Sus scrofa: one gene and its partner. The protein of the gene in region 1 interacts with the protein of each later gene in a pairwise test. Links are inferred from orthologs where the notes say so. Each region holds a gene or a part of one and is shown on either strand. Other genes may lie near its edges.

Region 1 (7,263 bases):
TTGTTTATTATTTATTTATTTATTGCAACGTAATGGAAGTTTCCAGTGGTCAAATCAGAGCTGCAGCTGAGGCCACAGCCATGACAACACTGGATCTGAGCTGCATCTGTGAACTACATTGCAGCTTGCAGCAATGCCAGATCCTTAACCTACTGAGTAAAGCCAGGGATTGAACCAGCATCCTCACAGAAACATCAGGTCCTTAATCCACTAAGCCACAATGGGAACTCCTCAATGTTTAATTTTAATGGAAGTGGTAAGGGCTCACATCTCCCTATAAATTATACTGGAAATAAAGGTCAGATTAACAGGATTAAATTCTATTGGAATATACACTAGAGAATAGTAAATCTCATTCATCTTGTCGTGGTAGAAAAGCTAACTTACAAACAGTAGAGCAAACACTAGATTATTTATGATTTTTAAGGCAAAAGTACCATTTTCAAAATCAATTTGTTGCATCCGAATTCACCTTCAAGATTTTTTCCTCTTAAATATTACTTTACTTGGGGAGAGGAAGTGGGATGGACTGGGAGTTTAGGGTTAATAGATGCAAATTACTACATTTGGAATGAATAGACAATAAGGTCCTCCTGTATAGCACAGGGAACTATATGCAATCTCCTGGGACAGACCATGATGTAAAATTACATATATATACATATATGAAATATATATATATATAAAAATTTTTTTGGTCTTTTTGCCATTTCTAGGGCCATACCTGCGGTATATGGAGGTTCCCAGGCTAGGGGTCTAATCAGAGCTGTAGCCGCCGGCCTACACCACAACTCACAGAAACACCAGATCCTTAACCCACTGAGCAAAGCCAAGGATCGCAATCTCATGGTTCCTAGTCGGATTCATTAACCACTGAGAGATACTGGCACATTATAAATCAATGATACTTTGATTTAAAAAAATTTAAATATATTACTTGGTTATTGTGGCCTAAACTGGCTCTGAAAATTGACTCATTTTTATTTATTTTTTAGGGCCACACCCCACACCCGTGGCATATGGAGGTTCTCAGGCTAGGGGTGGAATCGGAGCTGTAGCCACCGGCTTACGCCAGAGCCACAGCAACGTGGGATCCGAGCCTCGTCTGCAACCTATACCACAGCTCACAGCAACACCGGATCCTTATCCCACTGAGCAAGACCAGGGATCAAACCGGAAACCTCACTGTTCCTAGTCGGATTCATCTGCACTGCGCCACGACCAGAACTCCCCAAAATGACCCATTTTTAATCACAAAATGCCATTGTTGGAAGAGCCTTTTAGATATCAGTAAGTCGAGTGTTTAAAAATTCTTTTGGGCCTAATAATCCTCTCTTCAAATAAATTTGGGACTTAATATGGAAACACAAAAAAGTAGAACTGGGGAGTTCCCATCGTGGCTCAGGGGTTAAGGAACCTGACTAGTACCAATGAGGATTTGGGTTTGGTCCCTGGCCGAGCTCAGTGGGTTAAGGATCCGGTGTTGCCATGAGCTGTGGTGTAGGTTCCAGACGCAGGTAGGATCCCACGTTGCTGTGGCTGCAGTGTAGGCCAGCGGCTGCAGCTCAGGTTCGACCCTAGCCTGGGAACTTCCATATGCTGCCAGTGCAGTCCTAAAAAGACAAACAAACAAACAAACAAAAGAGCAGAACTGCACTGACTGACAGGTACTAATCTAACACTTTCCTTTTACTGATGGAGAACTCACCTGGTTTTTACTGACTTTCTCTATCAAACGTCATCCCTTTATTGTAATTACTACTGCACATATCCATTTTCCCTACTACACTGCAAGCTCCGCAAGGGCTGGATACACAGCACCTAGCACAGAGCTCCTGCCCACGGACTTGGGCCCAAAGAAGGGTATCAACTCGCTTAACCCAGCCCTGAATCAGAAAGACACCCCAGCCCAATACGGTCTATCAGTAAAATGTTTTTAAAACGAAGCTAGTTGTCCTCCCCTTTCCACGCCTCGCGAACCTCTATAATTCTAGATTGGGATTCTCACACTGAGGCCCTTGCTGGTCCCCTGGTGGTCAGAAGCTTCATGCATCCCAAGAGCATTAAGACGCTTCACGACGGTACTACCTGTACAATGTTTTAGTAATAGTGAGGCCAGTCCCGTTTCAGAACGCCAAAGCCTGACTCTCTAGAGAACCAGAAGCCACGCAATCGGGGCAGCGGATAGGCAAGAGGATTTCGGCCTCTTTCGCTTTTTTTTTTTTTGGCCGCCCCGCCAGGGATCAGATCCGAGCCATAGTTGCCACCTACGCTGCAGCTGCTTGTGACCTTTGTTTTTAACTTTGTGCAGCTCAACCTACAGTTCTAGTGTCGCGAGCCAGGGGAAAGTGAAATACCTCTGCAACCGTGGAAAGGAGAGGACACCGGATCTCAGCCTGCTCCCTACCCGCTCAGCCCTAAATCCCGCCCCCCACCCCGAAGCCCCGCCCCTCCATTTACCAGCGTCGGTGGGGGCCGTGCTGAAGACTGGGTCTGCAGAGGTGAGCCCAGCCACCTCCCAGAGGAAGAGCCAGGCCACGGCCCGGCCGGCTACAGCCGCGGTAGCCAGGACGCCGGAAACGCGCACCTGGGAAGAATGCTCGGGGACCAAATGCGGTCGTGAGAACCTACACAAGCCTTGCTCCGCTCCTAGAGCGCGCTGTCACAGAGTTAGCGACCTGAACGGAAGACTCCCTCCGCGCACGCCTGCTGTCCCGCTCTTGCTCGGCTCCCGGGAGCCTAGGCCCGCGAAAGTTCCGGCCTCGCGGCAGGCAATGGCCCCGCCCCCTCGCCGTCCACGCCCTCGCCCTGCTGGTTGGGGGCGGGGCGAGGAACAGCGCAAGCGCCGTGACATGCGCCCGGGCTGTTGCTTTGGGAATCTCTTGGTGGTCTCAGCCCGACCCGGGTTCCCGCACGTTGTTCAGCTAGTCGGCTAGCCGAGCTCTCTGCGTCTTTCTCCACTTGCAAGTGTTTGCGGATGCGGTCCTCCTGCTGAGGATTTCACCCTACAGTCACGTCTTTGGAGCTATGGCTGTCGCCTTTCTGCAGCGCCAGGCTCTGCCCGGCCCTCAAAATTAAATTTAGAACTCTTCTGTGCAATGCGGTTGGGGAAAACAACCTGCTTGCGGAGGTTTTAGACGTTGGCCTGCAGAAGACGCACTTTCTCTACGTCTCTATGGGTAGGTAAGAACATCAGCCTTGCCCTAATGGGGACGTGGGTAGAAAGAGGGTCGTCTACCTGATGGCAAAACCCGTACACTTTTAAGTTAAGATTTTGCCCGTCATTGATCCCTGGAGAAAGGGATTAATGTCCAGGAAGAAGAGCTGAGTAAATATGTCCTTTGTCTTATGGATTAAATCTATAAGCAAAGTAGAGAGTATCCAATGCAGATTGGAGCAGAACAGAGAGCTCTAGGACAGATGTCTTAAAGAGGGAAAAGATGTCAGAAGATATTACCTACAACTGAAAATAGCAGTGTAAGCATGCTGTTAAGAAATATGGAGATAAATTTTGGAAGAAACGCTTAAAAGAATTGAAACTATTTTCCTATTGGAGAGGGGAAGGGCAGAGGACCACAGTTTTTTATTATACGCCTTATGGAATTATATTACGTTTAAACAGAATACTAACATTACTTAGTAAAAATAAAAGTTTAATTGTAAAAAGAAAAGAGTATAGTCAAAAAACTACATTACTGAATATCATGTGAATACATCTTTTTTTTTTTTTTTTTGTCCTTTTAGGGCTGCACCCTCGGCATATGGAGGTTCCCAGGGTAGGGGTCCAGTCGGAGCTACAGCTGCTGGCCTACTCCACAGCCACAGCAACTCAGGATCTGCGAACTTCAGCATAGCTCAGGGCAACACCATACCCTCAACCCACTGAATAAGGCCATGGATTGAACAACATCCTCATGGATACTAGTCAGATTTGTTTCTGCTGTGCTACAACAGGAACTCCCATCATTTATTAACATAGCTACTTGCTTGAGTGTGTGGAATTTATATTGTGCTCAGTAGGATCTCCCAGAAAATTTACTAACAGAACAGATTTTAGTGAGGTGAACTGGGAGTAGTATTTGTTTAAAAGAAGAAGAGGAGTTCCCATCGTGGCACAGTGGAAACGAATCCGACTAGGAACCATGAGGTTGTGGGTTTGATCCCTGGCCTCGCTCAGTGGGTTAAGGATCCAGCATTGCGGTGAACTGTGGTGTAGGTTGCAGACGTGGCTCGAATCTGGGGTTGCTGTGGCTATGGTGTAGGCTGGCAGCAACAGCTCCGATTAGACCCCCTAGCCTGGAAACCTCCATTGTGCTGTGGATGCCCTAAAAAGACAAAAGACAAAAAAAAAAAGAAGAAGAAGAAGAAAGAAGGGATGGAGTGGGATCATTGTGTCAGATCAGAGGCAGAGCTCAATAATTTGAAAAAGCAGTTTTTTATATATGATCCATTTCCTAAGAGTGAAAATTCTTTTTTTTAAATGATTTTTTATTTTTTCCATTATAGCTGGTTTATAGTGTTCTGTCAATTTTATTTCTTTCTTTTTTTTTTTTTTTCTTTTTGTCCTTTCTAGGGCCGAGACAGCATATGGAGGTTCCAAGGCTAGGGGTCTAATCCGAGCTGTAGCCGCTGGCCTATGCCACAACCACAGCAACTCTGGATCCAAGCCGTGTCTGCAACCTACACCAGAGCTCACTGCAACGCTGGATCGTTAACCCACTGAGCAAGGGCAGGGACCGAACCCAAAACCTCATGATTCTAGTCGGATTTGTTTCCGCTGTGCCATGATGGGAACTATACAACAAAGTGATGCAGTCACACCTACATATACACATTCTTTTTCTCACATTATCCTCCATCAAGCTCCATCATAAGTGACTAGATATAATTCCCAGTGCTATACAGCAGGATCTCATTGCTGATCCATTCCAAAGGCAATAGTTTGCATCTATGAATCCCAGATTCCCAGTCCATCCCACTCCTTCCCCCTCCCCTTCCCCCTCAGCAACCACAAGTCTGTTCTCCAAGTCCATGAATTTCTTTTCTGTGGAAAGGTTCATTTGTGCCATATATTAGATTCCGGATATAAGTGATATCATATGGTATTTGTCTTCCTCTTTCTGACCCTAAGAGTAAAAATTCTCATGACCAATAGTAAGGGGTGAATGATAGAGATTATGGTATATCCATAGGACAAAACATCTGCAGTCATAAAAATTTGCATTTTAGAAAGACATTTAATGACAAAATTACATAAGCTGTTAAATTTAAATGGCAGGAAATAGGTATAATATAAAAAACATATTGTAGCTAAATACACACACACGCACAACTATGCCTAGAAAAAAGACTGGAAGGAATCAGGGTGATTATTTTATATGTTCCTTCCCCTTCCCCACTCCTGCCCCAGTTTCCTACAATGAACAGGTATTAAATAACTATGTTCCTGTAGTAATTCTCTAATAGAACTGAATTTGAAGATATCATCCCTGTGCTGCTTTACCTCTAGGTTCTTTGACATTTGCAGATCTTCCTGAGACTATCATGGTCACATCTAAAGCAGTTCCTAAAATTAAGTATATATGGGCATTGAAAGCAGGGAAGGAAAGAGGGAATGGAATGTATTAACCTTTAAAATGGCTGTTTCTTATAACTAAGAAAACATCGTGTAATGAGAAAAATAAGTTGACATAAAAGCCATGTAAGCTTCATTCCCTTGTACATGTGCTAATTCTGCATCAAGTCTGCTTTTTTGATCAGGCTTCTAGACTGTTAACACTTAGAGGATGTACAGGCTGTGTCTTACATTATATATTGAATTAAAGAATGGATTGCTTACTGTAGTCCAGGCATTGTGCTGAGCATATTGTGGTGAACAATGGATATGTCCCCTAAACATATAGAGCATATAGAATAGAAGGAAAAGATAAGTGAATAAATAAGTTACCAGAGTTCCCATCATGGCTTAGTGGAAATGAATCTGACTAGCATCCATAAGGACGCGGCTTCCATCCCTGGCCTTGCTCAGTGGGTTAAGGATCGGTGTTGCCGTGAGCTATGGTGTAGGTCGCAGATGCGGCTCAGATCTGGCGTGACTGTGGCTGTGGTGTAGGCCAACAGCAACAGCTCCCATTCAACCCCTAGCCTGGGAACCTCCATATGCCGCAGGTGCAGCCCTAAGAAGACAAAAAAAAAAAAAAAGTTACCAAAACTCAATGAGTTTTAGAATGACGGGGAAAGGACAAAGGAGACAGGTCTGGTCTGGTGAACCTCTCAGGACATAATGTATAAGATTGACATAGAGGCTGCTTGTACATACATGTTTAATTGGTAAATGAAAAAGATTCTATAAACTGATTCTTGGGTTCATACATAATTATGGGTTAAAAATACACTAAAAGATCCAAACTGAACTGCCTTTCTAGGCTCATGTGTGAACAAACCTACACCCTTCAGTGAACCGGGGATTCTACAGACTAAGAATAACCCGGAGCCAAACTGAACTTTCAAGGTATCTCTTGAAGTACTGAGCTTGAGCTGAGCAGGCATCTCTAGAACTGGACAAGAGTCAGATCTGCTGGGGAGGAAGAATAAGGGGGAGTGGGATTTATCCAACACTTATTTTTTTTCCGTTTTAGCAGGAAGTCATTATGTGACTAATACGTTTTCAGCAGATTTCCTCTGATTTACCCTGAAGTGTATGTGAGGATGATGTGCACTGCCAAGAAATGTGGAATTAGGTTCCAGCCTCCGGCTATTATCTTAATCTATGAGAATGAAATGAAGGGGAAAAGTCGCCAGCGCATTATGCCAGTCCGAAACTTTTCCAAGTTTTCAGGTACCTTATGTTTTATCTTGACTCCTACCTTAAATATTCCCTGAGTCACTTTATAAGAATGATTTGAGTCTTCTGTAGTGGAGCAGCATGGCTTTCAGAGTTAGACAGACCAAGGTTCAAGTCGTGATGTCGGGGTAGGTGTGTGACCTCCACTAAATTAGTTACTCTTGGTAAACATCAGTTTCCTAATCTGTAAAAGGAAATTGAGAATCCCACCCTTTCAGATCTGCAATGTGGGTTAACTGAGATGGCAATATTCAATAGTATGAATTCCCTTCTCTTCCTCAAAGGTGTTTTTTATTTGTAGTCTTGATATTTTCTTAGTACTTGTACAACTATCTCCAGCTGTACTACTGCTTTTTCTTCTTAGGTGTTTTCTCTAGTTAAAAGTATTGAATGTCTCCTCAAAATGATTTTTTTTTAAA
Region 2 (7,334 bases), on another chromosome or scaffold:
GCGTGTTATTTTAAATCACAAGACTCTGTGCAAGAGGTAAATCCTCACAGCTGAGGAGACGGGGCTCGGCAAAGTCAGTGGCCTGAGAATGAACAAATACTGTAAATTCTCAGTCTCAGGAAACCCACCCAAGGCGAATGTGCTGGTAAATGTTTCACGACTGGCTCTCTGTTTTTCTGTTTTTTGTTTTTTTAAAGCCCTAATTTATAGTAATTGGCCATCTCCTAGCATTTCCTCCTGCAGTCGACTTCAAGCTACCAATGGGATAGCATGGAATGTGATAGCTGGTGGTCATATGCTCCCTGCAGCATTTTATATCATTAAAAGAAAGGGGGAGAGTTCCCGCTGTGGCACAGCAGGTTAAGGATCTGGCATTGTCTCTTCAGCAGCTCGGTCACTGCTGAGGATGTGGGTTTGATCCCTGGCCCAGCGCAGTGGGTTAAGGAGCTGGCATTGCTGCTGCTGTGGTGTAAGTCACAGCGGCTGCTTGGATTCGGTCTCTGGCGCGGAAACTTCCATATGCCCTGGGTGCGGCCATAAAACACCACCACCAACACCCACAAAAAACAAAAGAACTCCACAGTCTTCACAATTACCTCGGCCCCATCTCCCGCAGTGCTAGAGAGACGGCACAAGCCCGTGACAACCCCTCCCCCCACGCGTGCCCCTCCCGCTTGGCTACAATCACAAAGCCGTGGCGCCATTCCATTCCGGGTTACTGCCCCCTGCCCACTGCCTAGGGTGGGTCCCTGCTGCCACCTGGCTGGTGAGTGACCCGGTTCCAGAACCCCACGCCTGGGTCGGCTTCATAGATCCAATCTGGGGCGACTGCCTTAGTCTGCGTGTCGCAGACGCACAGCCCAAGGTAAGGGCTGGAATGCAGCTTACTGGGGAGAGGATTCTGGAAAATGCCAGCCGAGGAAGGTGACCACGCCAGGAGGGGAACTAATGAAGACTGGGTTCCCAAGCAGGTTCCTCTTTAACTGGCGCTCAAACCGGAAGCACTAAAAGCTAGTGGAGAACACACCTTGGACGCACGTCCTGTCCCAGGGGTTCCCACGCATTGTTGCAGGTGCTCTGGGGAGATACACATTCCGGGGCTCTTCAGGTCCGCCCCAAACGCGGGCAGAGCGGCCTCTGGTGGTTGGAAAACGCCATGGCAGGCAAATCATCTCGGGCGCCGACAGCTGCAGGCTGGCCCAGCTGCAGCAAAGGTTCTGTTTGAAGGGCATAGGGGCTCTGCCGACAGAACTGTTACAGAGGGTCTCCTAATATTGTGAATGCTGCTGATTGCTTTTCAATCCGCTACAACGTTTGCAAGGTGCAATTACCCTTGCAGAGGAGATTTTCATAGTATAAAGATAAAACTCTAACAACATGGGGGAGTGAGAGAATATAAGTACGCCAATTTCCTCATCGCTCATTGCGGGGAGCCAGCAGGTAAGAGGTACTTTTATAAATAATGATTCAGATAAAGTCACAAAATTTTCCCCCGTTGGAACTAAAAGTAATGTAATTTTTAAACTTAGGAGTTGAAAGAGAAAATATATTCTTACCCTTTGAAAAGATACTGTTCGTGGTTGACGGGTCAGGACGTACATCATTTACAGCTATAATGAAAAGAACCAGAAGACCTAGAAAGAAATTGTAGTTGGGTCTACAATACGCAGGTGATAGGTGAGTAGGTAGGGTGGACACAGAGACTTTTAATGTTTCTCCCTTCTGTTTGGATTTTTAACCATTGGTATGAGTTACTTCCACAACAAACAAAACAAAGGCAAATGAGACATGGTCTAATTACAAAAAAAACAACAACAAAAAAACAACTTTCAAACACCCTTTAATGGAATATTACCCAGAAGTTAAAAAGAATGAGGCTCAATCTATAAATATATACATCAAAAGACGTTATAGAAACTCAGTAAGCATAGGCTCCAAATTAGGAGAGTGGAAAAAGTACTTGCGTGTATGTAACGTATCTATGTATAAGGTTGTCTGGAAAGACCTATACCAATTTGAACAGATGCTGCCTGTGGAGGAGGAGATGGGCTGGTCAGGACACCTCGACTTTTACTTTCTTACTTGACAAATAGCATTTGTATCTCACGAGAATCTGCAGACCACCCGTATTCCCTGAGAAAATGATTCCTTAAGACCCGCTACAGACCCACGGAGTGAGAGTCCCGGGGAATTCTAGAATCTGTATTTTCTCCTTTAAGGTAGTTGTGAAACCCCTCACCTTCCCCGTTATTGCAAAACTGTGCGAGCACACAGAGTGTGAAGAACAGCACAACGGCATACTGCATATACCCTTCACTGCGCCGCACCGTGTGAATGTGCCCTCTCGATGAGCGTGCACACCTGCACACACACGCACGTAAGCACATGCCTCTCAGTAAGCGTGCACACCTGTACTCACACATTTCGGCCGCACCTTGGAAAGCAGTAGCAGACTCAGGACCTTGCCCCGGATTCCAGCACGCGCGTCCACAGCAGCAGCCTGCAGGCACACCTGAAACACTTCAAACACCTCTCTTTACCCAACCTCCGCGGCCCGGCCCGGCGCGGATCCCCAGAACCGCGGGTTCACCGCCCACGCCTCTGAAGATCCCGCCCCCGAGGCCCCGCCCACCTGGCGGCGTCCCGAGGCCCCGCCCCGACGGGGGCGGGCCGCGCGCCAGCGTCGGGGGCGTGGTCTCGGCTGCGTGCCTACGCGCCGTGCGGGCTGCGGCGTCGGCCGTTGGCGCGGCTTGGGCGGTTGTCTTGGAGAAGCAAGATGGCGGCGACGGCGGCCGCGGTGGTGGCGGAGGAGGACACCGAGCTGCGGGACCTGCTGGTGCAGACGCTGGAGAACAGCGGGGTCCTGAACCGCATCAAGGTAGGGCGGGAGACCGGGGCCCGGAGGAGGGGAGGCCGGCCGCGCTTGCGGGCCGCGGGGCCTTTGTGGACGGCGAGCATCACAAAGGGGCGCGGGGCGCGTCGGCAGTACCGCCGGGGCTGAGGTCCGAGCCCGCGGGCTCCCTCGGAGCGGTCCACGCGGGGTCAAGGGTCACTCCCGGGGAGCCTCACGGCCCGGCCAGCCTTAGTCGGAGGAGGCCGACCCCGGCGTCCAGTCCCCGGCTGCCCCCACCCCGTCCCCACACGGCGTCCGGGGGTCCAGTCCCCGGCTGCCCCCCGCCCCCGGCGTCCGGGGGTCCAACGCCGCATGCTCCCTGGCTCTTCCCCGCCTTTGGTCTCAGCTGTCGGGCGGCGAGCGTCTCCACCTGTAAATGGACTTACAGAGCGTAAACCAGAGAGGTGGGTGCTGAGAGACACCCCAGGGCAGGATGGGGGACTTGGGAACCACAGGTCCCTTTCTTCACGGCGTCTCAGGACGCTTTCCGACGTGTCTGTGCACCTGCCGACTAAGCACTATCAACCTGCCCCTTTTCGTTTTGAGTTTTGAAATTGCCGCGTGTGCGCTTCTTGTTATGAAAATTGCCTTGATAATTTTTGTTCCTTTCCTCACCGCACCTCCCTCCCTTTTCAAAGGCCGAACTCCGAGCTGCTGTGTTTTTAGCACTAGAGGAGCAGGAAAAAGTAGAGGTATGAAATCGACAAATCGTAATGACTGTGTTCCTTTATGGTTAATTTCTTTTTCTTTTTTTTTTTTTTTTTTGTCTTTTTTGTTGTTGTTGTTGTTGTTGTTGTTGTTGCTATTTCTTGGGCCGCTCCCTCGGCATATGGAGGTTCCCAGGCCAGGGGTTGAATCGGAGCTGTAGCCACCGGCCTACGCCAGAGCCACAGCAACGCGGGATCCGAGCCACGTCTGCAACCTACACCACAGCTCAGGGCAACGCCGGATCGTTAACCCACTGAGCAAGGGCAGGGACCTAACCCTCAACCTCGTGGTTCCTCGTCGGATTCGTTAACCACTGCGCCACGACGGGAACTCCTATGGTTAATTTCTAATTGCCCAAAAACCATTCTAAATGTTGTGTATAGTGGGGCATAGCCAAGGATGATTTTGAACTTTAGTGTTGGGAGAGAGTCAAGATTATTCTCTCTTCGTGTATATTTTAGAGTTTGGGGGTAAAGAAAGTTAAGGCCGGTGCTAAATTTCATAGGTCCCTCTCCGCTGGGGACATCTGAAACACAGGTTAAAGCAGGAAGAAAAGGTTTCATTGTCAACAAGTTTACCGCAGGATCGGTCAGAACCTTTAACCTGCCCATATGCCTGCGAATCCCCACCAGGTGGAGGGGGTAGGAGGCAGCTTTCCCCCAGGTTATCTGGCCCCTGAGTTATTTTATTTTACTTATTTATTTATTTTTGTCTTTTTGCCTTTTCTAGGGCTGCTCCCGCTGCATATGGAGGTTCCCAGGCTAGGGGTCTAATCGGAGCTGTAGCTGCCGGCCTACGCCAGAGCCACAGCAACGCAGGATCCTTAACCCACTGAGGGAGGCCAGGGATTGAACCCGAAACCACATGGTTCCTAGTCAGATTCGTTAACCACTGTGCCACGACGGGAACTCCCTGAGTTATTTTAAAATCATGTCATTTTGGAAGTTCTCTTGTGGTGAAGTGGGCTCAGGATCCAGCATTGTCACCGCAGTGGCTCAGGTCACTGCCTTGGCGTGGGTTTTATCCTTGGCCTGGGAACTTCCACATGCCTCAGGCACTGCCTCCTCCCCTCAAAATCTTGTAGTCTTTTCTTGGGTCACAGGTCCAGTCACTTCTCTGTTTACAGGTGTATTTAGTGTTTCTCTCTGTGGCAGGTCTACCACTGTCTGAGTAAAACCCCCGGCCTGTTGGCAACTGCGTGGTCAAGGCCTCGCTTTCCCCTGACAGCTCAGTGTCTTCTCCTCACTTTGGACTCCGGTTCCCCTTTACCTTCCTGAAGGCCTTCAGTTCTTGCCTCTTCTGTCTTTGTCCTCGCTGAGCTGCCCTTGTTCTTAGCTGATCTGGACCCCGTGGTCCGGGTCTCAGGGGCCCTCACTGCCTTGCCCTTCGCCATGCTTGGTCTGAGGACAGTCTCAGGGGTCCCTGCGCTCAGCAGATGAGCTCCCTCCCCGTCTGGAGCGGCTGAGGCCCCCCCGGGGGGGGGTGCTTCCCACCCCGGGAGGCCCTGGGCCTTCCCACCGGCCTCCCGCCTCAGCCGCTTCCTGCCCTCTGACGGACGCACCTGTGACGGACGCACCTGTCTGTCCCTCCCGAGGAAGATGGAAGCAGCAGGTGTGAACCCTTCCCGCAGGCTGTCCCTCCCCTCGGAGGAAGCGCCCCTGCACCCGGCTCCTCTCCTCCTCCTCCCTTCCTGCGCAGGAGGCCTCCCTCTCTCTGGGCTTGGCCTCCGGAGTGCTCCTGTCATGCCTCTGCCACCGCCTGTGACCCGGGCCTCCCCTTTTTGCCGGCTCTGCTCTTGGGCCTGGAAACAAGTTAACTGCTCGCTCCAGGAGGAAGCTGGTTCCGACTCCAGTTCGGCTTTTGGTGCCTTTCTCGCTTTTTCCCTCATGGGCTCCTCTGGAGAGAGTGTCTGCCTTGTGTTCCAGGCACCAGGCGCCCTCTAATTCATTGACATCTTTTTTTTTTTTTTTTCTTTTTAGGGCCACACCTGCAGCATGTGGAAGTTCCCAGGCTAGGGGTCAAGTTGGCACCGCAGCTGCCAGCTGCGCCTCGGGGATGCTCCTCGGCTTGTTTCCGCTGTGCCACTGACTCTGTGACTCCTATGCCTCAGTGGTGTCTTTTGCTGCTGCCGGGAAGACGCGCCTGATGGAGTGTATCTTCATCCTGTCCTGCCTCAGGCCTCAGCACAAAATAGTTCCTGTCGTAATCAGTAGTTGCAGGGTGGGTTTAACCATAGGGGTAGTGTTTTACCTAATATCTTCACCAGAAAATTAAACTTTAATGTACATTTTATAGTGGTTTTTAGGATAAACATATAACGCTTACAGCGTTTCATTTTTTTTAACAGAACAAAACTCCTTTAGTCAATGAGAGCCTGAAAAAGTTTTTAAATACAAAAGACGGTAAGATGTTTGTTGTTATTTTTGTCTGTCTCTGAATTTTCAAATCTTGCCTCCATTTGGGAGAAATCAGGCATTCCAGATTGCCTTTCGAAGTCTGCGATGCTTTCAGGTTCTTATATTAAGTCGTATTTTATTGTACAACTGTTGAGTCGCCATTGCGTATCAGTGTTACTGGAAATTGTTGGTTAAAGCCAATTTTACTGTGAAACTGATGTTATTATAAAGAGCGAAACCCTAGTTCATTTAGGAAATGTCAGATTGTCGTACTAACACTTCCAGACTGATGATCCTAATGAGAGAATCAGGAGACTGAAATTTTCATTACTTAATTGTATTATTCAAAGAGAAGAAATGTGTGATTTTAAGCGTTGAGAAGCTTCTCTTCTCCTTTTGCTTTGGTTATTTTCCGTCCCACTGTCAGCGAGGAGGCCTCGGGGCCTCAAGACCCCCTCCCACCTCCCTTCTCCTCTTTGCAGGCCGGCTGGTGGCTAGTCTCGTGGCGGAATTTCTTCAGTTTTTTAACCTTGACTTTACCTTGGCTGTTTTTCAACCTGAAACCAGCACGGTAAGAATGATGCCTTTTCCATCTCTCTTTGAAACCGTCTTTGATGCAGATGAGTCCATTGTAAGCGGAACAGTGACAAAATTTGATAACTTAGAGTGTCTTTCATAAAGATTATTTTTACAGTCGATTATCTGTTTCTCAAAACCTGCCTGTGCTGTCCGACAGCTGGCACCAGTGTCCCTGCTTCAGGGGGCTTGACACAGGTGTCGTCGTCGCGTTCACCTGTTCTGACGTTAGTCGACTTGCGCTGCAGACTTTGAATGCAGGGACTCGTCGAGAAAACATGCACTTTTTAAAGATAGACGTTTCCTTGCCGGGAATGCGGGCCTCTTTGGGTTTAGAGATGTCTTTAAGTTCGGGAGAGATTTTTCTTTGATCTGTGAAAATAATGTTGCTGTATTTTGTGCACTGACCCTCTCCCATCTTACCTCTTTCACAGTTTCAGGGTCTGGAAGGTCGAGAGAACATAGCCCGGGATTTAGGTATTATTGAAGCAGAAGGTACTGTGGGTGGACCCTTGTTGTTAGAGGTGATCAGACGCTGTCAGCAGAAAGAAAAAGGGCCAAGCAGCGGGGAGGTAAGTTCAGCCCTTTGCTACCTCTCTGCTCCTCAGTCGTTGCCTCTCTAGGGTGGCCGTGCAGGTCAGTGTGCACGTTCGAGCTGGTTTAAATAAGGAGAGGCTGTTCCTTAAAGACAGAACAGAACATACCCAGAGATTGTATAAATACACATTTTGATGAAAATTGGAGATGTGGTAGCCCTGAGT

Evidence for each region. The genes of interacting proteins can lie anywhere in the genome.
Region 2: the proteins of CEP19 (region 1) and FGFR1OP interact in binary tests that used the Homo sapiens proteins (3 or more experiments, as listed by UniProt). The two-hybrid records come from large-scale screens. The link is inferred for Sus scrofa from reciprocal best matches to the Homo sapiens genes CEP19 and CEP43.

Annotation. Positions count from the first base shown.
Region 1 is NC_010455.5:133,417,528-133,424,790, forward strand, and holds the start of CEP19 (centrosomal protein of 19 kDa), read left to right. Parts: upstream 1-2,662; 5' UTR 2,663-3,175; coding exon 3,176-3,183; intron 3,184-6,638; exon of another isoform or gene 6,639-6,671; coding exon 6,672-6,838; intron 6,839-7,263. UniProt on the Homo sapiens protein: Required for ciliation. Recruits the RABL2B GTPase to the ciliary base to initiate ciliation.
Region 2 is NC_010443.5:2,116,202-2,123,535, reverse strand, and holds the start of FGFR1OP (FGFR1 oncogene partner), read left to right. Parts: upstream 1-2,703; 5' UTR 2,704-2,776; coding exon 2,777-2,878; intron 2,879-3,531; coding exon 3,532-3,585; intron 3,586-5,948; coding exon 5,949-6,003; intron 6,004-6,479; coding exon 6,480-6,568; intron 6,569-7,007; coding exon 7,008-7,145; intron 7,146-7,334. UniProt on the Homo sapiens protein: Required for anchoring microtubules to the centrosomes. Required for ciliation.